Lonchura striata: one gene and its partners. The protein of the gene in region 1 purifies or fractionates together with the protein of each later gene. This does not show direct contact. Links are inferred from orthologs where the notes say so. Each region holds a gene or a part of one and is shown in the gene's direction. Other genes may lie near its edges. The genes, in order: GEMIN4, SNRNP70 and DDX20.

Region 1 (7,131 bases):
CAAGCCAGGGCACCTCCTGGCTCTGCAGGTGCTGCGGCACGAGGAGTTCGAGGAGGGCTGCAAGGCCACCTGCAACGGGTGAGTGCCCGGTGCAGCTGTTGTTCACAGTAAAATAAAGTTTGGGTTGTTTCTTATTAAATTGCTTCCCTTGGAACCTGCAGCCCCCCACTCTGTGTAGGTGTGGTGTTTATATTGCACAGAAATACCACGCCTCTAGGTTGATACTTAATTATTTCTCAGCTTATCAGGAATTTCTCAGCTTATCAGGACTCCAGTTCCACTGATTGTTTAGATAATCGTGGCACTATCAAGGTTCTTGAGTTAAAAATCCCTCCTGGTAGCCCAAGGCTAAAGAAAAAGAAATTAAAAGAAGAAGAAAGAGGAATGCATTTCATTGTGAAGTGGAAGGAATCTTACAGTTTGGTGCCCTTTCCTACTTAGCAATAAGGAAGTGATTATGTAATTGCAGCTAATGAGCAGCCTGTGCTCTTAAAGCACCAGCTGTTAATGAGGTAGAATTGCTTTTATCATATGAAGAGAGCCCGGGGTCAAATCTGCCACGATTTCACTCTAGAAACACAACTCCTCCTTGAAACACAAATACTCGCAGTTCTTGGTGGTTCATTTCAATGCTAATGACATTAAAATATGGATAATATGGATATTCCAGCCCTTATGATGGAAAATGGAGCAAGACCATGGTGGGTTACGGACCAGAGGACAATCACTTTGTGGCAGAGCTGACTTACAATTATGGCATTGGAGAATATCGCCTGGGCAACGACTTCCTGGTGAGTTCCACTCATGATAAGCTGATTTACCTTGATAATTAGGAGCTCATTTGTCACAGCTGCTTATTTTTATGCTGTTGGGTCCCTTAACCACATAATCGTTGCTTTTATGGTTGTCTCTGAGTTGGAAGAGCAGAATCCAGAGCAGATTTGTGCTCACTTAGAGGTCCAGGAAACATTTCTGGAGCTCTCCCTCTGCTGTGTGGGACAGCTGGTGTTTGCTGCCAGATCCAACAGGAGGAACTTGCTGCAGGAAAACACTCTTATATTTATTATTTTGATAATTTTTGTGATTTAGTGGCTGGCAGCAGATGGAGATCTCGTGTTTCCTGTGTGGAAGGAGGTTCTGTCTCTGCCTCCACCCCATGGATTGTGTTGTGTCCTCTCTAGGGCATCACTCTGGTGTCCAGCCAGGCTGTGAGCAATGCCAAGAAGATGGGGTGGCCCCTCAAAGAAGTCACCTCTGGTGTCTTTGAAGCTGAAGCCCCAGGAGGATACAAATTCTACCTGGAAGACAAAGAACAGCCCAAGCAAGGTGAAATACCCCTGCTGGTGTTCAGCAGAGGTTTAACAGTGGGGTATCAGAGTGTGTTTATTTTGATGGCATTTTGTAGAACAGTACACTTTTTTTATAATTTCTCTGTTACTTCTCAAGAATACTAATGACATTAACTGTGGATTTAAAGCTATAATATGTTTGTAGCTAATGTGAAATTATTGCAATCCTCAAGATCCCGTGTGGAAGGTAACCCTGGGTGTCTCAAACCTGCAGAAGTCTGTGAGCTACTGGTCTGGTTTGCTTGGGATGAAAATCTATGAGAAGGATGAGGAGAAACAAAGGGCTTTGCTGGGCTACGCTGATAACCAGGTCAGTCCTTGGAAAAATCACCAATTTCAGGAAAAAAGCTCTTAATTAGAGCAACTGTGCCCTTAATGATGAGTGTTTTAATTGACGCTGTATACACCCAGCTGCGCTTTTAAAAATAAAAAAGCAAAGCTGTGGTTTGCTGTGGCTTGTTGGGAAAGGCGTGGATGGGGGATTTTGGAATCAGCTGCAGCCTGGAGCAGTGTCCCTGCAAGCCAGGCTGGGTTTTTCCCTGTCCCAGTGCAAGCTGGAGCTGAAGGCTGTTGGAGGAGCAGTGGACCACGGGACAGCGTTCGGCCGCATCGCCTTCTCCTGTGCCAAGGAAGAGGTAACAGCCCCATTTCCCTCCCCCCAGCTGGGGAAGGTTGTTTTGGTGTTAACAAAACCCTGAGCAGATAGTTTATCTCTTTGGCAGCGAGGTGATTTGGGTTTGCTTTCTGTTTCCAGCTGCCAAGCATTGAAGCCCTGATGAAAAAGGAGAATCAGAAAATCTTGACGCCCCTGGTCAGCTTGGACACGCCTGGCAAAGCCACGGTGCAGGTGGTGATTCTGGCTGATCCTGTGAGTAAAACTGAAAAGTTTTAAAAGTGGTTAAATTTGGTTTCAGTTCCTCCTTGCCATTAGTTATAACTGAGCTGCCTCCTTTCAGGATGGCCACGAAATCTGTTTTGTGGGGGATGAAGCATTCAGAGAGCTGTCCCAGGTGGACCCTAATGGTGACAAGCTGTTGGATGATGTAAGTGGCTGCACATTCATTTTCTTCCTGATTAGAGATACCTGTAAAATCCAATTTTCATTCCATGCTGAGTTTTTCCTGGAAGCAAATCACCCAGGGTTGGTAAGGAAAATAAATCAGTTTTTAAATCTCACTTGGTGCCCTGGGTGGAGTTGTCCAGCATCACTCTTGGGGCATGGTCTCGTTGTTTGCTGTGGCAGAGAAAGTTGGTTTTCAGTGTCAGTTCTCCTTACTAGTAGCTAAAAAATGATTTATCTCTCCAGAGAGCTTTCCTCCTGTTCTGACCATGTTCCCACTTGTCTTTGTGCAGGCCATGGCTGCAGACAACAGTGACAAGTGGTTTGCTGAGCACAACATGAAGAAGGTTTCAGCTTAGCTGGAGGAATGGCCTGTGCTGCTATTCTGTGCCTTGGAGTTCTTCCAAGAAAGTGCCAATCCTGGTTAAAGTGCTGCCTTCCTAATCAGAAGGTGCTGGGATTTCCTGTGGTGGGTTTTTTTGGGTTGATTTAAGCTGATGTCTCTGGCCTGCTGCTCTGTCCCTTTCACATCTCATCCATCCAAAAAAACGGGGGCCATGCAGCAAAGGAGCAGCTGAGCCCTTGGCTTCAAAACAGGGACCATCAGTCAAGAGAGAATCACATTTCTGTGTTGTTATGCTTCAAGGAAAGGTGGATAGGTTATTTTCTGATTAATTAATTTCCTGATTACTTTGCTTTAGCTGTCCTTCATTTGCAGGCTAGAGAGGAGATTTGGAGGCAGCTGTGGCTACTCCCCCTCTCCAGGGAGGTGTGGGGTGCATCCCTTTATTGGGAACAAAGAAATGATCTTGCCAAGCTGCGTGAATACTCCAGTCCTTGTTATTCCAAGGAGTTTCCCCAGCTTCCAAGGGGAAATGTTCAGCCCGTGGTGTGTTTCTCACTGGGATCCTGCTGTTGCTGGGTTTCCAGTCTTTCTCCAGGAGATTTCCACGTTCCAGCAGGGAACTGAGGCTGTGCTTTGGGGTTTGGAGCTGCACTGTCTGCTGAGGTGCCAGGGGGCAGCTTGAAATAAGTTTTTCACTTAGCTGTTGGTGAGAAGCTGCCTTTGGAAATAACAATTCAGGGTTTTTTGTGTTGGAGTGAAGTTGCTCTGCTTTTGCTGGGAATACAGGGAGTCATTCCCATCATTGCTTGTGCCACGTATGCTGCCTGACCATCGTTTCCTTGATGAAAACCTTAAATAAAATCCTTTAAATCAGGTTTTCATCGCGAAACGAGTTTGATAGAGACGATCGATCGGGCAGCGTTGGCACTTCTGAGGTGGAGCAGGAAAAACTCCTCACTGCGATTTGTTTTTTTTTTTTTTCAGTCAGCTTTTTGAATTCCATTTTAATGGCGGTTTGGAATCCTATTTGTATGATTAAACACATTGATAGTGGAGCATGGCAATGAATTAGTCCATGAATTCATTTATTAATTTTTTCATTAATTATATTAGTCCATGAATTCATTCATTAATTAATTCACTAATGTTTTCATTAATTATATTAGTCCATGAATTCATTAATCAATTCATTAATGATTTCATTAATGAATTCGTTAATTTTTCATTAATGATTTAATTAATGATTTCATTAATTAATTAAGCAGCACACCTCCGCGCCGCCAGGGGCCGCTGCGAGCGCGCGGCGGGGCGGGGGCGGACGGCGTTACGTCAGCGCAGCGCGGGCGTGACGTCACCGCGCGGGCGCCATGGCGGCGGCGGAGCGCGGGCCCGCCATGGCGGCGGGCGGGCCCTGGGCCGTGGGCGAGGAGACGGCGATCCTGCACGGCGGCTTCCTGCTGGCCGCCCGCCTGCTGCAGCCGCGGCCGCTGCGGGAGCTGCGCAAGGCCGACTGGCCCCGCGCGGGGCTGCCCATCGCCGACGCGCTGCGCGAGATCGCCGAGCGCTGCCCCGCGCCGCGCCGCCGGTGGAAGAAGGAGGCCGTGGCCATCGTGTGGGCCAAGATCCTGCTGCCGGCGCTGGAGTGGGGCTGGAGGGATGACGGGTTCTTCTCGGTGGGCGCGATGATCCCCGATGTCAGCCCCGCCGCGCTCTTCGAGCTGGTGAAGGCGCTGGGCGAGCCGCGGCTCTGGGTGCAGCTGCTGCTGGCGCTGCCGCCGGCCGTGTGCCGGGCACAGCTGCAGAGCTTGGTGCGGTACATCTCCAGCGAGACCTCCTTGTCGGACGTCAGCTTCTTCCTGGACGTGTGGTGGGAGGTGCTGAAGCACAGGGCGGGGCAGGAGGATGCCACGGTGTCGGCGTTCGGCGCTCTCATCCACCAGCACGGCGGGGAGTCCCCCCCCGAGGATGGTCTGCAGCCCCCAAAGAGGTTCAAGGGTGACCCTGGGAGCGCCGCGGCCACCGCCGGGCTGCCCGCGGTGCTGCTGGAGGGGTTAAAGCTGATCCGAGGCAGCATCGCCCAGCCCCGCCTGAGGTGCTACGCCCTGGCCAACCTGGCGGAGCTGCTGTGCCTCTCCTCGGTGCTGGGGCCGGGGCACAGCCCCCTGCCCATCGCGGAGCACCTGGCCAAGCTCGGCGCCGTGGTCAGTCTCTGGAGCAGTGATGCTGACAGCCAGTACCACCCCTGCGAGCTGGGAGAGAAGGTGAGGGAGGCAGAGAGGAGCCTGAGCCTCCTGTGCCTGACCAAACCCTCTCGTGAGGAGCTCTTCGATGGCTTAGGCTTGCTCTGCAGCTTGCTGCAGGCCTGGGGAGAGGAGCTGCAGGACACTCTGAGGGGGTGTGAGGGGCTTTGCTTTGAGAGCTACCGGCTCCTGGACGCTCTGAGCAGCCTTGGGAAGAACCTGGATTTCCTCTTGGAGACCAGAGACCTGGGGGATGGCGGGACATGGGTGGTGTCAGAGGTGACACAGCTCATCAAGGACTTGCTCAGGGACACCGGTGCAGTCCTGAAGGGTTTGGACACCAGCCTTGTGTCTTCAGTTGCCATGGCAATCATTGCACAGAGGCTGGACCGCCATGGGGAAACCTGCTCTGTTTTTGCATCTGAAAAGACCTGGGCTTTTTCAAAGGCCTGGGTCGAGTGCCTGGTGAAGAATAAAGCTCTGTTCCAGACTCCTGAGCTAGTTTTGAAACTGCTGGAGACGCTGGTGAACTTTGCTACTTCCCACCATGACCAGGAGGCCCAAGAGCTGCAGATGCAAGTGACCAAAGCCATCGTGGAGTGCTACACTGAGCTTTCATTGAGTGACAAAAACAAAGTGATCTCAGCTGTCCTGGCGTCCTGGGGCGGCCCAGGTCTGTCCCAGAACGTGCAGGTTGTCAGGGAGGGCTTCCAGGAGGACCTGAATGTGACTTTGAACCAGATCACAGAGAGTGTGTCTGATGAAGGCCTGGCCAGGGCTGTGGCTTCTGTGGCCAGGCTGACACTGCTGTCCCCCGAGGCCACAGTGAAGCAGGTTTGTCATCTTGCTGTGGTCAACCTCGGGGCGCACCAGTTCCTCGCCCAAATCCTCTGCTCCTTCCCAGCACTGAGCTTCCTGGAGAGCCACGAGGGTGCAGGCAAGCCACGCAGCCTGGTGGTGAGGTGCCTGGAGGAGGCAGTGTGGGGGAAGCTTTCCACGGCGAGGGAAGAGGAGCAATTCCTTCAGTTCCTGGCCTTTCTCATGCAGCCAGGCTCAGCCACCCCACTTGTGTCACCTGCAGAAGTGACCGAAGCCTTTGTCCTTCCCTGTTTAAAGTCAGACTCTGCTCAGATTGAGCTGAGCCTGCAGATCCTCAGTAAGGTTTTGGGAATACCATCCTGCTCAGAAGAGCACTGGATTGAGTCCTGCCACCCATTCCCACTTCTCCTTAGCCTCTGCAAACTTCTGGATGGTTACACCAAGTACTGGCATCGGCCTAGGGAGCAGCTCTTCCCTTCCCTGGAGACCAAAGACCTGATTCTGAGCATCCTGTGCCAGCTGTGCGAGCTGGTGGGACCAGAGACCGTCCCCTCCTCGGAGCTGTGGGTGCAGTCGCTGGCCTGGCTCCACAGGAAGGTGGCATCCCTGGACTGGACCGTGGGGCTCCGTCTGAAGAAGCTTTATGGGGATCACTTCAAGAACGAGGTCCCAGCGACGCTGTTCGAGATCTGCAGGCTCCCTGAGGACGAGTGGACGTGCCAGTCCTGGCCAGCCTACGGGCCGGGCAGTGGGCTGCTGGCGTGGATGGAGTGCTGCTGCGTGTCCCCAGCGCTCAGGGACTCCATGCTGGCGCTGCTCTGCGTCAACGTGGACAACCCCGAGGAGGTGAATCTCTTCAGCAAAGGCTTCCTGGTGGCCCTCATCCAGGTGCTGCCTTGGTGCAGCCCCGGCGAGTGGAGGAGGCTGGTGCCCGTGGTGGAGCAGCTGCTGCAGAAGGAGGTGCTGCACGTGCCCTACACGCTGGAGTACGTGCAGCACGTGCCCCTGCTCAACCTGCGCCCCTTCGCCTGCCACCTGCAGCTCTCCGTGCTCTTCCTGCGGGGCTTCCAGCTCCTCTGCAGCTCCAGCTGCTCCAGCTGGCTGCCTCCAGAGGCCTGGCTGCACGTGGTGCAGCTGTACTGCGCCAGCCTGACCGACCTGCTGGCCTCCCTCAAGGCCGCGGCGGCGGCCGCGGCTCAGCCCTGCGCGCAGGAGGTGTCCTTCACCTGCATCCAGCTCTTCTGCCACCTGCTGCACGTGGCTGCCATGCTGCCTGCTGGGGGCTGTGAGGAGCCTCTGCTGGTGGTGGCCCTGGAG
Region 2 (7,795 bases), on another chromosome or scaffold:
ACGAAGATAAAAATGACACTGATGATGAAGTTGATGAAGATGGTGACAACGGCACCAACAACAAGGATGATGAAGACAACCCCGATGACGAACCCGACGCCGCCGACCGCGCCCGCTCGCCCCACTGACCTCTCCCTCGGCGCCGGAGCGGAACTGCGGCAGCGTCTCGAGGCAGAAGACCACGATGGACACCAGGATGACCAGCACGGACAGCAGGGCCACCACCCGCGCGGCCGGCGAGCTCTCGGGGTGCTCGCACAGCAGCCACGCCCGCCGCCTCAACCCTCCACGCGGCAACGCCGGCGGCTCCTCCACCGAGAAGCCTTCGGCCTCGCGCAGCCGCTCCTCCGCCTCGTCGCCCAGCTGGTAGAACCTCAGCTCCTCCAGGAACACGTCCAGGGGCACGTCCGGGGGTCTCCGCAGCCGCCCCCCGGACTGGTAGTAGTAGAGCACGGCCCCGAAGGCGCCGCGGTGGCGGTCGAAGAAGTACTCGCGGCGCTGGGGGTCGAAGAAGCGGCGCCGGCGCCGGGGGTCGCCCAGGAGGGTGTCGGGGAAGCGCCGCAGCGTCCGCACCAAGGTCTCGAAGCGCCGGCCGGCCACGTTGATGGCCACGCGCTCGCAGCAGCCCAGCGGCTCGCCCATGCCCGCGGCGCCCCCGCGACGGGGCACGGGCGGGGCAGAGGGCACCGAGGGCAGCCTGGGGCAGGTGGGGGGCGGCCCCGGCGGTCCTGGGGGTCAGCGGGGGGCGAGAGGGTCAAGGTTCTTCAGCGTCGGGGAAACCCAAAAGTCTTGAGGGATACTGAAGGACTTGAGGTCACAATGGGACCCCAAAGATTTGGGGAACCACGAAAAACTGGAGGTCAAAGATTTGGAGGACTGTGAAAATATTTGGGGTCTACAATGCTGGAGGAACCTCAAGGTTCTTCAGCGTCGGGGGAAACCCAAAAGTCTTGAGGGATACTGAAGTACTTGAGGTCACAATGGGATCCCAAAGATTTGGGGAACCCCAAAAAATTTGAGGTCAAAGATTTGGAGGACCCCAAAAATATTCGGGGTCTACAATGCTGGAGGAACCTCAAGGTTCTTCAGCATTGGGGGAAACCCAAAAGTCTTGAGTGACACTGAAGTATTGGGGGTCACAATGGGACACCAAAGATTTGGAGGACTGTGAAAATATTCGGGGTTTACAATGCTGGAGGAACCTCAAGGTTCTTCAGCGTCGGGGAAACCCAAAAATCTTGAGGGATACTGAAGGACTTGAGGTCACAATGGGACCCCAAAGATTTGGGGAACCCCGAAAAATGTTGGCAAGATTGGAGGTCAAAGATTTGGAGGACCCTGAAAATATTCGGGGTTTACAATGCTGGAGGAAACTCAAGGTTCTTCAGCATTGGGGACACCCCAAAAATCTTGAGTGACACTGAAATATTGGGGGTCACAATGGGACTTTAAAGATTTGGGGAACCCCAAAAATATTTGGGATCTACAATGTTGGAGGACCTCAAACTTCTGGGGGTCCCACACTGGGTCTACAATGTTGGAGGAACCCCAAGGTTCTTCAGCATTCAGAACAACCCAAAAATCTTGAGGGACACTGAAATATTTGGGGCCCAATGGGACCTTAAAGATTTGGGGAACCCCAAAACTATTGGAGGTCAAAGTGGGACCCTAAAGATTGGAGGAACCCTAAAATATTCGGGGCCAACAATGTTGGAGGACCCCAAATTTTTGGGGGTCCAACCGCGGTTCTACAATGCCGGAGGAACCTCGAGGTCCTGCGGTGTTGGGACACCCCAAAACTTTTGGGGGTCCCAAGGGGACCCTAAAGATTTGGGGGGCCCCTAAATTCTCAAGTGGTCAACGGTGCTGGAGGACCCTCAGGATCCTTGGGGGGTCCTACAGATTTGGGGGACCCCCTAAACTTAGGGGGTGTCCCAGGGTGACCCCAAAGCCTTGGAGAACCCTCGAGGTCTTTGGGGGTCCCACGGTGACCCCCAAGATTTGGGGGGACCCCAAAAATGTTGGAGCTGGGTGGACCTCGGGGGGGTCTCACGGGGGGTCAGGACCTTTGAGGTCCTCGGGGGTGACCCCAAAGATTTGGGGGGACCCCTCAACTCTTGGTGTCCCCCGGTGTCACTGCGTCCCCCCGAGGGTGTCCCCGGTGTCCCCAAGCCACCAGACCCCTGTCACCGAGTGTCCCAAACCGCCCCCACCCCCAGTGTCACAGGGGTGTCCCCAAGGTCCCCTCCTGTCCCCAAGGTGTCACCGGGGGGTCCCCAGCGGCTGCCACCGGCCTGGCCCCGTGTCACCGCCTGTCCCCAAACCCTGTCCCGGGGGTGTCCCCACCCCTCCTGACCCTGTCCCCGGGGTGTCCCCACTGTCCTGGGGGTGTCCCCACCCCTCCTCACTCTGTCCTGGGGGTGTCCCCAACCCTCCTCACCCTGTCCTGGGGATGTCCCCACCCCTCCTGACCCTGTCCCCGGGGTGTCCCCACTGTCCTGGGGGTGTCCCCACCCCTCCTCACTCTGTCCTGGGGGTGTCCCCAACCCTCCTCACCCTGTCCTGGGGGTGTCCCCACTGTCCTGGGGATGTCCCCACCCCTCCTGACCCTGTCCTGGGGGTGTCCCTGCTGTCCTGGGGGTGTCCCCACCCCTCCTCACCCTGTCCTGGGGATGTCCCCACCCCTCCTGACCCTGTCCCCGGGGTGTCCCCGCTGTCCTGGGGGTGTCCCCACCCCTCCTGACCCTGTCCTGGGGGTGTCCCCACTGTCCTGGGGGTGTCCCCACCCCTCCTGACCCTGTCCTGGGGGTGTCCCCACCCCTCCTCACCCTGTCCTGGGGGTGTCCCCACCCCTCCCGACCCTGTCCCCGGGGTGTCCCCGCTGTCCCCGGGGTGTCCCCGCTGTCCCGGGGATGTCCCCAACCCTCCCGACCCTGTCGACGGGGTGTCCCCGCTGTCCCGGGGGTGTCCCCGCTGTCCTGGGGGTGTCCCCACCCCTCCTGACCCTGTCCCGGGGGTGTCCCCGCTGTCCCCGGGGTGTCCCCGCTGTCCCCAGGGGTTGCCCCCCCACCTTGTCCCCGGGTGCCCCCTCCCCCCCACGTCACCCGGGTGTCCCCAACCCCCCCCCCACCCCCGCCACCACGGGGTGTCCCCGGCCCCTGTCCCTGTCACCGGGTGTCCCCGGCCCGCCGTCCCGCTGTCACCGCCGCTGTCCCGTAAACAGGGTGACAGGGTGGCCCCGCGGTGTCGGGTTCCCCCCCGCGCTAAAAATAACGGGGGGGGGGAGGGTGGGGGGGGGTGACCGGACACCCGGGTCCTCCCCCACCCCGGGGTCACCGAGTGTCCCCAAGGGGGGGTGACATCCCTGGGGGGGGTGACCGGACACCGGGTCCTCCCCCACCCCCCCGGGGTCACCGAGTGTCCCCAAGGGGGGGAGGGACATCCCCTGGGGGGGGGTGACCGGACACCGGGTCCTCCCCCACCCCGGGGTCACCGAGTGTCCCCAAGGGGGGGTGACACCCCTGGGGTGGGGGGGGGTGACCGGACACCGGGTCCTCCCCCACCCCGGGGTCACCGAGTGTCCCCAAGGGGTGGGTGACACCCCTGGGGTGGGGGGGTGACCAGACACCGGGTCCTCCCCCACCCCCCCCCGGGGTCACCGAGTGTCCCCAAGGGGTGGGTGACAACCCTGGGGGGGTGACCGGACACCGGGTCCTCCCCCACCCCACCCCGGGGTCACCGAGTGTCCCCAAGGGGGGAGGGACATCCCTTGGGGGGGGGGGTGACCGGACACCCGGGTCCTCCCCCCCCCCGGGGTCACCGAGTGTCCCCAAGGGGGGGAGGGACATCCCTTGGGGGGGTGACCGGACACCCGGGTCCTCCCCCACCCCCCGGGGTCACCGAGTGTCCCCAAGGGGGGGTGACACCCCTGGGGGGGGTGACCGGACACCGGGTCCTCCCCCACCCCCCCCGGGGTCACCGAGTGTCCCCAAGGGGGGGTGACACCCCTGGGGGGGGTGACCGGACACCGGGTCCTCCCCCACCCCCCCCGGGGTCACCGAGTGTCCCCAAGGGGTGGGTGACAACCCTGGGGGGGTGGGGGAGGGGCGGGGAATGGCTGTCGCCCCTCCCCCATGGCTAACGGGGGGGGGAACACCCCGGTGGGGGGGGGGGGATGGGCAGGAGGGGACCCCCCCACCCCAAAATTGGGAAGGGTGGGGGGGGTGGTGTCACCCTGGTTGTCATAGCAACGGGACGGGGGGGGGGGGGTGTGACCTGTGTAGGGATGAGGGAGGGGGAGCATCCCGGTTGCCGTGGCGACGTGATTTATAATTTTGGATTTTGGGTTTTTATTTTAAATTTTTTTTCTCCGTTGTCATGGAAACCACGCGGGGTGTCCCACGGGGGGGGTGGGTGGCAACCTGGTTGCTATGGCAACGAGACGGGCTGTTCCCTCCCCGTTGCTACGGAGGGAGGGGGGGACCCCGCGGCTGTTCCCGGTTGCCATGGAAACCCCCGGCCCGGCAGCGAAGCCCCGCCCACGTTGCCATGGCGCGCGGTGGGGGCGTGGCCATCTCATAACCACGCCTCCTCAGCAGACCACGCCCACAGCACCGGTTAATTAAGCCACGCCCCTAACAGCGATTGGTCCGCCACGCCTCCTTCATTTGCATGGACACGCCCCTTTGACCACGCCCCCTCACGGAACCGTTACCGGCCCCTTCCCCGCCTTTCCGCCGCCGCCACTTCCGGTTTCGCCCCTCACTTCCGTTGGCGCGGCGGCGGGCGCGCATGCGCGGGGGGCGGCGCGCGCGGAGCCGGAGGCAGCGCGGGGTCCGTGAGGGCCGCGGGCTCCGGGAGGGCCGCGGGCTCCGGGGGCGGCTCCGGGAGGGACCCCGAGAGGGCAGCGGGCCGGGGGGGACCCGCCCGGGAGAGGGGGAGAGCCCCGGAGCGGCGGGGGGCGCGGGGAGGGGTGGGGAGGGTGAGGGGGGGGCGCTGCCCTGAGGGCTTGGGGGGCTGAGGGTGGCTGGGGGCGCTGGGGCGGGGTTGAGGGGTCCAGGGGTGTCCGGGGGGGATTTTGGGGGTCGGAGGGTGGCTCTGGGTGTCCGGTGGGGATTTGGGGGAGGTCTGGGGGTGGTTTTGGGGGGTCTGGGGGGTGTCCAGGGTGGGGTTATGGGGGTCTAGGAGGGGATTTTGGGGGGTCTGGGGGTGGTTTGGGGGGTCTGGGGGGTGTGCAGGGTGGGGTTATGGGGGTCTAGGAGGGGATTCTGGGGGGTCTGGGGGTGGTTTGGGGGGTCTGGGGGGTGTGCAGGGTGGGGTTATGGGGGTCTAGGAGGGGATTTTGGGGTCTGAGGATGGCTGTGAGTGTTGGGGGAGGGTTTTGGGGGGTCTGGGGGGTGTCCAGGGTGGGGTTATGGGGCTCTAGGAGGGGATTTTGGGGGGTCTGAGGGCAGTTTTGGATGTTGGGAGGGGGTTTGGGGGGTCTGGGGGGTGTCCAGGGTGGGGTTATGAGGGTCTAGGAGGGGATTTTGGGGGGTCTGAGGGCGGCTGTGGGATTTGGGGGGGTGTGTGGGGTGGGGTTATGGGGGTCTAGGGGTGTCTGGAGGGGATTTTGGGGGGTCTGTGGGTGTTGGGGGGGTTTGGGGGGTCTGGGGGGTGTGTGGGGTGGGGTTATGGGGGTCTAGGGGTGTCTGGAGGGGATTTTGGGGGGGTCTGGGGGTGGCTGGTGTGCAGTTAGAGGGGCTCAGGAAGGTTTGGGGGGTCCCAGGTGGGGTTATGGGGGTCTGGGGTGCCCAGGGTGGGGTTTTGGGTGTCTGTAATGGGTCTGGGGGTGGCTGGTGTGGGGTTAGAAGGACCCAGGAAGGTTTTGGGGGGTCCCAGGTGAGGTTATGGGGTGCAGTGTGGGGTTTTTGGGGGTCTGGGGGTGGCTGGTGTAGGGTGAAAGGAGCCCAGGAAGGTTTTGGGGGGTCCCAGGTGGGGTTTTGGGGGTCTGGAATGGGTATGGGGGTGGTCGGTGTGGGGTTAGAAGGACCCAGGAAGGTTCTGGGGGGGGTCTCAGGAATGTTCTGGGGGGTTGGGGTGGGTTTTTGGGGATCCAGCGTGGGATGAATCAGCTGCAGCGAGGGCGGAATTTGGGGATTTTGGGGTGGGTTTTTTGGGGTTCTGGGGGTCCTGACCTCCCCCCTGTGCCCCCCAGAGCCTCCCAGGATGACGCAGTTCCTGCCCCCCAACCTTTTGGCCCTTTTTGCCCCCCGGGACCCCATCCCTTACCTGCCCCCCCTGGAGAAGTTGCCCCATGAGAAGCACCACAACCAACCCTACAGCGGCATCGCGCCCTACATCCGGGAGTTTGAGGTACCCCAAAGCCCCCAGACCCCCAAAACCCTCCCCTAAACCCCCCAAACCCCACTGTGGAACTCCCCAAAACCACCCTGGACCCCCAAAACCCTCCCCAGACCCCCAAACTCCACCCCAGGTCTGGCCAAACCCCCACAGATCCCCACAATCCCCCAAAACCCCACCCCAGGACTCTCCAAAACCCTCCCCAGACCCCCAAAACCCTCCCCAGACCCCCAAAACTCCACCCCTAGACCCCCCAAGCCCCACTGCAGAACTCCCCAAAACCACCCCGGACCCCCAAAACCCTCCCCAGATCCCCAAACTCCACCCCAGGACTGGCCAAACCCCCACAGATCCCCACAATCCCTCAAAACCCCACCCCAGGACTCTCCAAAACCCCTCAGGACCCCCAAAACCCTCCCCAGACCCCCACAATCCCCCAGAACTCCATCCCAGGACTCTCCAAAAACCATCCCAGACCCTCAAAACCCACCCCAGGACTCCCCAAAAATCCACCCCAGGACTCCCCAATCCCCCAAAACCCCACTCCAGATATCCCCAAAACCCTCCCCAGACCCCCAAAACCCTCCCATAAACCCCCCAAACCCCACCGCAGAAATCCCCAAAATTATCCCGGACCCCCAGAACCCTCCCCAGACCCCCAAAACTCTACCCCAGAACTCCCCAAAACCATCCCAGACCCCAAAAAACCCCAAAACCCCACCCCAGAACTCCCCAGAACCCCTATGGAGCCCTATAATCCCCCCAAAACCACCAGACCCCACCCCAGAACCCCCCAAAACCACCCTGGAGCCCCATAATCCCCCAAAACCCGGCAAAACCCACCCTGGAAGCCCCCAAACCCCACCCCAGGACTCCCCAAAACTCCCCAAAACTCCCTCAGACCCCCAAAACTCCCCAAACCCTACCCCAGAATTCCCCAGAACCACCTCAGAGCCCCAAAACCCCAACCCAGAAGTCCCCAAAACCACCGTGGACCCCCAAAACCCTCCCCAGAACTCCCCAAAACCACCCCAGAGCTCCAAAATCCCCCCAGAACTCCCCAAAACCCTCTCCAGAACTCCCCAGAACCACCCCGGACCCCCACAATCCTCCCCTGCATCCCCCCAAATCCTCAAAAACCCCTTTCTAGACTCCCCCAGACCCCCATAACTATGCCCCAAACCCCCTCTCCACCCCAAAAACCCTCCTGGACCCCCCAAAACCCCTCTGTGACCCCCCAAAACCCCTCTGTGACCCCCCAAAACCCCTCTGTGACCCCCCAAAACCCCTCTGTGTCCCCCCAGGACCCCCGCGATGCCCCCCCACCGACGCGCGCCGAGACGCGCGAGGAGCGCATGGAGCGCAAGGTACGTCCAGAACCCCCAAACGGGGGGAAACCCCCCCCAGAATGGGGTGCAGCCCCCCTCAGGAGGGCTCAGCCCCTTCCCCACCC
Region 3 (8,035 bases), on another chromosome or scaffold:
TGCGAGACACCAAATCTGTGATCTCTGGCAGATGAACAGGAAGAGCTCCTAGGCTCGTTTGGCTTCTGCTAAGGACATCCTTTTGATCCGTTTTCCAGCCTCGGGGCTGCTCCTGTCCCAGGAGACTGATAAAGGAGTTCAGGAGCACAGAATAAAGAAAAGACCGGCATATTCATGTGCTCCAAACTCCTGGGAACTTGCAAAGGAAGAAAAAAATCTGAAATATTTTCTCAGTAGAATTTCCTTACTAAGCAGCATTTTTCTCTTGCGTGTAGACAACTGGTTCAAAGCAGCACTGACACCTCATGCCAGGCCCTGCACTCCTTCCGCTCTGTCGTGGTGTAAACCATGAGCAGATGGTGCAGTGCACTGGAAAATCAGATCTCCGAGAAAGTACAGAGCCAAGAATAAAACTCCCCGAAGCAGAAAGCTACATGGTTTATTTCAGGACAAAAAGAAAAACTGAGATCCTTAGGCAAAAATTAGAATACTCCTTCAGAGTGGAGTATTCCACTTCTATGAACTGCCTCGTTCATTCCTGATTGAGGGAACATCCATCCCTTCACAGCTGAAGGCTCAGCTCATTTGTTGTCTTTCAGTTCATTGATCTGCTTTCTCCAGGCTCCCACGTGACTGTTCTCTGCTGAACTAACAAGCGTGGTTATCGCTGAATTTTCCTTCCTTTTGACTTTCTTGCACACTGACGACAAACCTTTCAGAATTTCCTCCCACTTCAGCTGCAGCATGACCTGAATTGAATCCATCCTTGTTTGAACCCACTGGGGCAGAAACACCCAGCCACGATAGGTAAGGATGTAATGTCAGAACTTTGCTGGTTTTATATTTGTGCATAAAGAGATAAAATAGCCCTGAAAATATGACTGTTTCTTCCATTAAGTCTAATTTAGTGCATACAGCCTCTGCGGCCTTTATATGTGAAGTTCTGACGTGCCCCAGCCTCACTATGCCCATCCTCAAAATAAAAACTTCTAACGCTGCTCCAGCCAAATTCCAGCTCCTGGCATTGCTCTGCCTGCACTGGAGTGCCAGGAGTAAGGAGCAGGGCAGCTCCTCATGCAGCACTGCTTGTGCTGAACATCTCCTACATTTCAGCTCGGCTCGCTGCATTTTCGTGACCTAGATCCCGCTCGCATGAGCTCAAAAAATAATGTAGCAAATCTTGGTATCGAAGATTAAACTGGGATGATGATTATTTATTTGGAAGACAACAGGAGTGAAATAGTGGCATTTCTCTCTGCAGAGCTGAAATAGCTGCTCTGACCCGGTCCCTTAGGCCAGCTTGCTTTTACCTGCAGCTGCACCCGTGCATGTGCCTGTGATGGCTCCCCCGTGGGCTTGAGATTCCATCTGAAATCTGGGGAATTCTCCCTGACCCTTGTGAAGAACGTGCCTGACGAGGAGCCCCGTCCGTTCCGCAGGAGGGCACTGAAATGAGCCTCAGATGGAGGCAGGACAGGACCATCCTCCTCCTCGTCACCGTTATTTATGGCAGCTCCACGCACAGGCTCGCTGGGAAGAGCCACAGCTTGGACATCACTGAAGCAACGGGGAAGATTCTGCTGCTCCCAAGACTTGCTGCTCCTTGGTAACTCCCAGGCAGCTTTCCTCTGCAGAGGGCAGGTGAATGTGCAGTTTTCCGTGGTGAACACGCAGGCGCCGTCTCTGCTGGGATCAATGGCCCTTTCACTGGCCTGGGCTCTACTGTACAGAGAGCAAACACAGTTTCCATGGCACTGGAAACACAAACATGTCCCACACTCCAAAGAGTGACTCACACGTGCTGCAGAGAACAGAGAAACTTCCCTGTCTTAATCTGAAAACATCTGCGAGAGGAGGATGAGATTATCTCACTTTCAAAATATGCTACAAATATTGTGTAAACCACATTTGCACTGAATAATTCCATGTCTTGGCAGATCTGAAAGACAAATCCTTTGAAGGCAAAGGAATAAGGCAAGGCTGGTGCCTGTTTGCAGTAGCAATGGCCAAATCAATAATGAATATATTCTTAAAATAAATACAACCCAACAATTCTGGAAGCCAATACAAACTGTCCATGTGCATTTTACCTCAGTATTTCAAAGAGTCACAATGAGAATTTAAGTGTTGGAAATGGAAGAGTAGATTTATAAGAAATGGAGGAGATGGATAAATTAGTGGGAAGTATTTAGTACAAGTGCTAATCCTGGTATTGCAGGTGCTAGGCTGAAATAGTCTGAAACAGTCTGAAATAGTCTAGAATAGTCTGCAACAGTCTGAAATAGTGATCACCTGACCTGCAGCCCCAGCAGCATCACTCAGAGGTGTCTTAGAACATCCCTTACCTAAAGCTGATACACTGAATTACAGATTCAGGGGAAAACGCATGCAATTAAAATCAAATCTGTGATGTGCACTTTCTAGCAGGGACAAAAATGTGGTGAGGACTATCTTGGAGCAATAAAACATGCTCTCAGTGTATTTGGGAGGAAGAATTTTCCCTAGCAGGGCTTTTCTACATCCTAAAACCTCAAGGAGTTTTATGACCCCAAGCTAGAGAGTTTATATCCCTTCAAAGGAACCTGTTATTTTAGTAATATTCCAGCTCTGAAGGATGTCTCATCGGCTTCCTTTACTAACCTAAATCCTTTCCCAGCACCTATTCTGCCTGCAGAGCATTCAGATTGAATGTCAGGATTTCCAAAGGCTGCTCTGAGCAGGAATACTGCCTTTGGCTTTCCAGCAAGCAACAGCAAAGCCCTGTCATGGCAAAGCTGCAGATTCCTCTTGGCAGGGCTGACACGTGAAGGTCAGCAACAGGAATTCAGTGCTGAGAGTCACTGAGGTAAAGCAAGGCCTGAAGGGAGAAGATTCCTGTGTGGACTGTGACTCACAGCACAGCACCTGCACAGAGCTCAAAACACAGAGAGGAGCAGGAGCAGGTGAGATTTGCTATGGGAATGAGGGCTAGAACAAAACCCTTCATGGGCTCACAACAAAAGAGCAGGAGCAGGTGAGATTTCCTACAGGAATGAGGGCTAGAACCCTTCATGGGATCGAGTGGCGGAGCTGCAGGAGCCGAAATGTGACACAGCCCCTCCGTCAGGGCCAGAACCAGCGCGACAGGGACAAATCTGCCAAGGGAGGCTGGCACACAGGGAGACGCTTTGGAGAGTGTCTGCGCTGAACGGCTGAAGGAAAATGAAATAACAAACAGCACCTTTGTGAATGATGGTCGGGATGTGTCATTAATGCACCACAGAGAACAACGCCTGTCTGCAGATCACCTTGGTGGAATTGCAACTTGCACGGAACCTCGGGAGAACAGGAGTAAGTGAGAGAAACAGAGAAGGCAGCAGCTCCTGCAATGGCTCTTGGGGCTGTTCTGTCACCTCCTCGCTGCCCTTCCCCCTGGGAACAGTCCCTCCTCACTGCTCTTTCTTGTCTGTTCAAATCACATCAATTTAAAAGGGTTATGAAAGGCTCTATTTAATCAAATGTTTGTTATGTCCAGGTGTCTTTGTCTGTCTCCTTTCCCAGATTTATCCAGAGACAATTATCTCATGGAGACTCTTTCCCCTTGAGGACCAATGAGAATATCCACTTAGAAATTAAAAAATAATTGGAACAGTGGCATGCCTGTGGATCCTGTTACCTGTCCCAGCCACGTGGTGTGCTCCCCCTTGGTGGAGGGGAGCTCTCCAAACTGGAACTGCTCTGTGTCCTGCAGGGTTGATGTTTGGTACTCAGATATCCACAGGAAAATATCATCATCATAAGACATAACTGAATAGAATCTGACAGACTTTTCTCCCCATCAGAAATACAGGCATGAGGAATTTCAAAGGCGTGACCAAGCCTGTGATACACCAAAGCCATTAAAATTCATTTTGGCTGCCCGGCACTGTAAGAATAATGGCACAGTGTATGTGCTTGTACAGTAGAAGCCACTGTGGAGATTTTCCAAATTCCCTTGCAATGAATGGAAGCTGCACGTCCAGAGCCTCCGAAGCGCTGCCATAAAGGCTGATATTCATAAATTTAAAATAAGTGGCCTACAGAGGGTAGTAAGTAGGGCACATACAGATTAACACGCTTGCCCTCTGCCGAGCGAACACTACGCTGTTATGTTTGCTGTCATGTTCTGAGGGCTCGCAAACCGCGTGTTCTGTGCGCTGTCCTCGGGACGGGCACGGCCCGGGCCGGCAGAGCCGGGGCGCTCGGACAGCGCCCGGCCCGGCCGGGGCGTGTGTGCGGGGCCAGCGGCGGCGCTCGGCGGCGATCTGCGGTTATTTGGGGCTATTTGCGGTTATCTGGGGCTATTTGCGGTTATTTATCTGGGGCTACATGGCGCTGTTCGCTCCGGAGGCCCTGACCCGCTATCCGTACCCGCCCTCAGGCGGAGCCGCCGCCATCTCCCCGTGCCCGCCCTCCCTCAGGAGGAGCCGCCGCCATCTCCCCGTGCCCGCCCTCAGGCGGAGCCGCCGCCGCCATCTCCCCGTGCCCGCCCTCAGGCGGAGCCGCCGCCATCTCCCCGTGCCCGCCCGCCCTCAGGCGGAGCTGCCCCCGCCGCCATCTCCCCGTGCCCGCCCTCAGGCGGAGCCGCCGCCATCTCCCCGTGCCCGCCCTCAGGAGGAGCCGCCGCCATCTCCCCGTGCCCGCCCTCCCTCAGGCGGAGCCGCCGCCATCTCCCCGTGCCCGCCCTCCCTCAGGCGGAGCTGCCCCCGCCGCCATCTCCCCGTGCCCTCCCTCAGGCGGAGCCGCCGCCATCTCCCCGTGCCCGCCCTCCCTTAGGCGGAGCTGCCCCCGCCGCCATCTCCCCGTGCCCGCCCTCAGGCGGAGCCGCCGCCATCTCCCCGTGCCCGCCCTCCCTCAGGCGGAGCCGCCGCCATCTCCCCGTGCCCGCCCTCCCTCAGGAGGAGCCGCCGCCATCTCCCCGTGCCCGCCCGCCCTCAGGCGGAGCCGCCGCCATCTCCCCCGCCGCGCCCCCTGGCGGCGCTGCGCCGCGGGATCAGGGCAGCTCTCGCGAGACTCCCGCCGCGGCCCGCCAAGATGGCGGCGCCCAGGGAGGCGGCGGGCCGGGTCCGCACCCGGGACGTGCTGCTGCCCGGCGGCCCCGCGGACTTCGGCTCCCTCCTGCTGTCGCCGCCGGTGCTGGCTGGGCTGGAGGCGGCCGGCTTCCATCGGCCCTCGCCCGTGCAGCTGAAGGCCATCCCGCTGGGGCGCTGCGGCCTGGGTGAGCGGGCGGGCCGGGCGCGGGGCCGGGATGGGTCTAGGATCTGCCCTGACCCCCAGGAGGTGCCCTGACCCCGGGATCTGCCCTGACCCTGGGATCTGCCCTGACCCCCAGGAGGTGCCCTGATCCCCGGGATCAGCCCTGACCCCGGGATCTGCCCTGATCCCGGGATCTGTCCTGACCCCGGGATCAGCCCTGACCCCGGGATCTGCCCTGATCCCGGGATCTGTCCTGACCCCGGGATCTGCCCTGATCCCGGGATCTGTCCTGACCCCCGGCGCTGCCCTGACTGCCACAGCCACTCTTTGCAGACCTCATCGTGCAGGCCAAGTCTGGCACCGGCAAGACGTGCGTGTTCGCCACCATCGCGCTGGAGGCGGTGCTGCTGGAGAGCCCGGCCACGCAGGTGAGGCACCCGGGGCTCTGGGGCGGGAGCGGCTCCTTTTGGGGGGATGTGGCACCGGGGCTCTGCGGAGGGAGCGGCTGTTTTTGGGGGATGTGGCACCAGACAGTGCGGTTTGCATCGCTGCGGTGCTGGGCTTAGCTCCCATCCCCCCAGTTAACCCTTGCCCCACACAGATCCTGATCCTGGCTCCCACCAGGGAGATTGCTGTACAGATCCACGCCGTCATCACGACCATTGGCATAAAAATGGAAGGCTTGGAATGCCACGTGTTCATTGGAGGGACTCCTCTGAGCCAGGACAGAAGCAGGCTGAAGAAGTGCCACATAGCTGTGGGCTCCCCAGGTAGGGAGCAGCTTTGCCGTGGTTTGGGTCCCCGTGGGCCTGCACAGGTCAGTAACCGGCCACGGGAAGCTGGCTTGGGGGAGTTTGTTGTCACTAACAGGGCACAGCCTCAGAGCAGCTCAGGAACACTTTAAAAGGTCACGCTGAAGGTGTTTGGGGCCCCGTTTCTGGAGCTGTTGGTGTTTCCCTCCTGCAGGGCGGATCAAGCAGCTGATCGAGCTGGACTACCTGAGCACGGCCAGCGTGCGGCTGCTGGTGCTGGACGAGGCGGACAAGCTGCTGGAGGAGGGCAGCTTCCAGGAGCAGATCAAGTAAGGCACAGCACCCTGCCAGGCTGCGTGGGCAGGCGGGTGCCCTGTGAGTGACTGCCTGCCCCTGTCTCTCAGCTGGATCTACTCCTCGCTGCCGCTCAACAAGCAGATGCTGGCGGTCTCAGCCACCTACCCCGAGTCCTTGGCTGCTGCCCTCACCAGGTACATGAGGGAGCCCACCTTCGTCAGGCTGAACCCCACGGACCCAAGCCTTCTTGGTGAGCACATAAAGGCACTCACAGTGGCATGGCTGGCAATAGATGACGAGGAGGGCACTAAAGCCAAAACACCTGCCTTTAGTTCCTAATTTCACCCCTGGGTTGTTCAGTTTATGAATATTGATCCCCAGTGTTGATGTAGTGAACCTTGAAGTGGAATGAGAAGGTCTTTAAAGGCCTTTCCAACCCAAACCTGTGATTCTGTATTTTTGAAATACCAGTGACAAATGGAGCTCCCTCCTTTTTCTATCCATTCAAAAATTCTAGCCTTTTTAGAAAATTTTCTCCTGGAGGTTCTGATGTCTGTCTGTTTGCAGTTTCCCTTCAGCTGCACTACCACGTGTTTACAGAACTCTGTGCATGTTTTTATGGCAGCCCCTAATCTGTTGTTTTGCTTTCCTGCTCAGGGCTGAAGCAGTACTACAAAATCGTGAATTCCCATCCCCTCCCACATAAAACCTTTGAGGAAAAAACCCAGCACCTGCAGGAGTTGTTCAGCAAGATTCCTTTCAACCAAGCCTTAGTCTTCTCAAATCTGCACAGCAGGTAACACATTTGCAATAACACCTGGACAAAGCTTGTTTGGGAGCAGTGCTTGTAATGCCCAGGCTCAGAGAAATTCATGGGACCTGCAAGGCCTCGGACTGCAAACCTCAGCTCTGAAATACTGCCTGAGGAATGCAGTGTGAAATACTGAAAATATCACAATGCAGTCCTTGGCTGTAGAGAGTAACCCAAGGACTGGCAGGTGTTGTTAGGCCTGGGGTTTTATTTCCAGTTTTCAGTGTGTGTGTTCCCTCAGGGCTCAACATCTGGCTGAAATACTGACATCCAGAGGCTTCCCTGCCGAGTGCATTTCAGGTAAAACCATTCACAATTTTCTGATTCCACTGAAATTGTGCATAAATGTGACCTAAACGAGGAAAATATATCTTCAATCTTGCCTTGCAGGGCCTCTGGTTAAATGGCTGAGAATAGCATTTGAATTGTCATAGGTCTTTCAAGACTCCATCTACAAGGAAAAGAATTTTTTTTGCAATGAGTGACCTGAGTTTTCCGGTTCTGTTTGTTCCTTCTTTACTCATTTGGGGCTGATGTTTGAGGAAGTTTCTAACTTATCCTGATGATACAAAGCAGTGTTTTCTAGAATGTGAGTGGCATAAAGATGAAGAATGTAACCTGCTTCTAATTTTTATCTTCCTAGGCAACATGAATCAAAATCAACGACTTGATGCCATGGCTAAATTAAAGCAATTCCACTGCAGAGTTCTGATTTCCACAGACTTGGTGAGATTTACTGCTTTCAAACAAGCTTTTTACAGATTCTATTTCAAATTTTACAGCATGCAGGAGTACTGCACATAAAATTACTTCAGAGGATTAGATTTGGCTTGGAATTGGAGAGGACATAAATGTGCTGGTGAAGCGCTGGGGGTTGGGACTTATTTTCACAGCGGGGCTTAGAAATCAGCCCCATGCCTCGTCTGCCTGCCCATGGCAGGGCTGGAACGAGGTGATACTT

What was found.
Region 2: the proteins of GEMIN4 (region 1) and SNRNP70 purify together in Homo sapiens (affinity purification with mass spectrometry; 5 studies listed by BioGRID and IntAct, counting the BioPlex papers as one, with this or other methods). This does not show direct contact. The link is inferred for Lonchura striata from reciprocal best matches to the Homo sapiens genes GEMIN4 and SNRNP70.
Region 3: the proteins of GEMIN4 (region 1) and DDX20 purify together in Homo sapiens (co-immunoprecipitation; 7 studies listed by BioGRID and IntAct, counting the BioPlex papers as one, with this or other methods). This does not show direct contact. The link is inferred for Lonchura striata from reciprocal best matches to the Homo sapiens genes GEMIN4 and DDX20.

Annotation. Positions count from the first base shown.
Region 1 is NC_134622.1:8,702,392-8,709,522, forward strand, and holds the start of GEMIN4 (gem-associated protein 4), read left to right. Parts: upstream 1-4,122; coding exon 4,123-7,131. Other genes in the region: GLOD4 (glyoxalase domain-containing protein 4), read left to right, coding at 29-78, 671-791, 1,182-1,326, 1,523-1,659, 1,898-1,984, 2,104-2,217, 2,306-2,392, 2,703-2,768. UniProt on the Homo sapiens protein: The SMN complex catalyzes the assembly of small nuclear ribonucleoproteins (snRNPs), the building blocks of the spliceosome, and thereby plays an important role in the splicing of cellular pre-mRNAs.
Region 2 is NC_134640.1:2,127,635-2,135,429, forward strand, and holds the start of SNRNP70 (U1 small nuclear ribonucleoprotein 70 kDa), read left to right. Parts: upstream 1-4,709; 5' UTR 4,710-4,833; intron 4,834-6,196; 5' UTR 6,197-6,207; coding exon 6,208-6,354; intron 6,355-7,646; coding exon 7,647-7,709; intron 7,710-7,795. Other genes in the region: KCNA7 (potassium voltage-gated channel subfamily A member 7), read right to left, coding at 59-642. UniProt on the Homo sapiens protein: Component of the spliceosomal U1 snRNP, which is essential for recognition of the pre-mRNA 5' splice-site and the subsequent assembly of the spliceosome. SNRNP70 binds to the loop I region of U1-snRNA.
Region 3 is NC_134632.1:5,521,196-5,529,230, forward strand, and holds the start of DDX20 (putative ATP-dependent RNA helicase DDX20), read left to right. Parts: upstream 1-5,003; 5' UTR 5,004-5,052; coding exon 5,053-5,236; intron 5,237-5,547; coding exon 5,548-5,642; intron 5,643-5,815; coding exon 5,816-5,984; intron 5,985-6,180; coding exon 6,181-6,295; intron 6,296-6,370; coding exon 6,371-6,513; intron 6,514-6,920; coding exon 6,921-7,059; intron 7,060-7,315; coding exon 7,316-7,374; intron 7,375-7,717; coding exon 7,718-7,800; intron 7,801-8,035.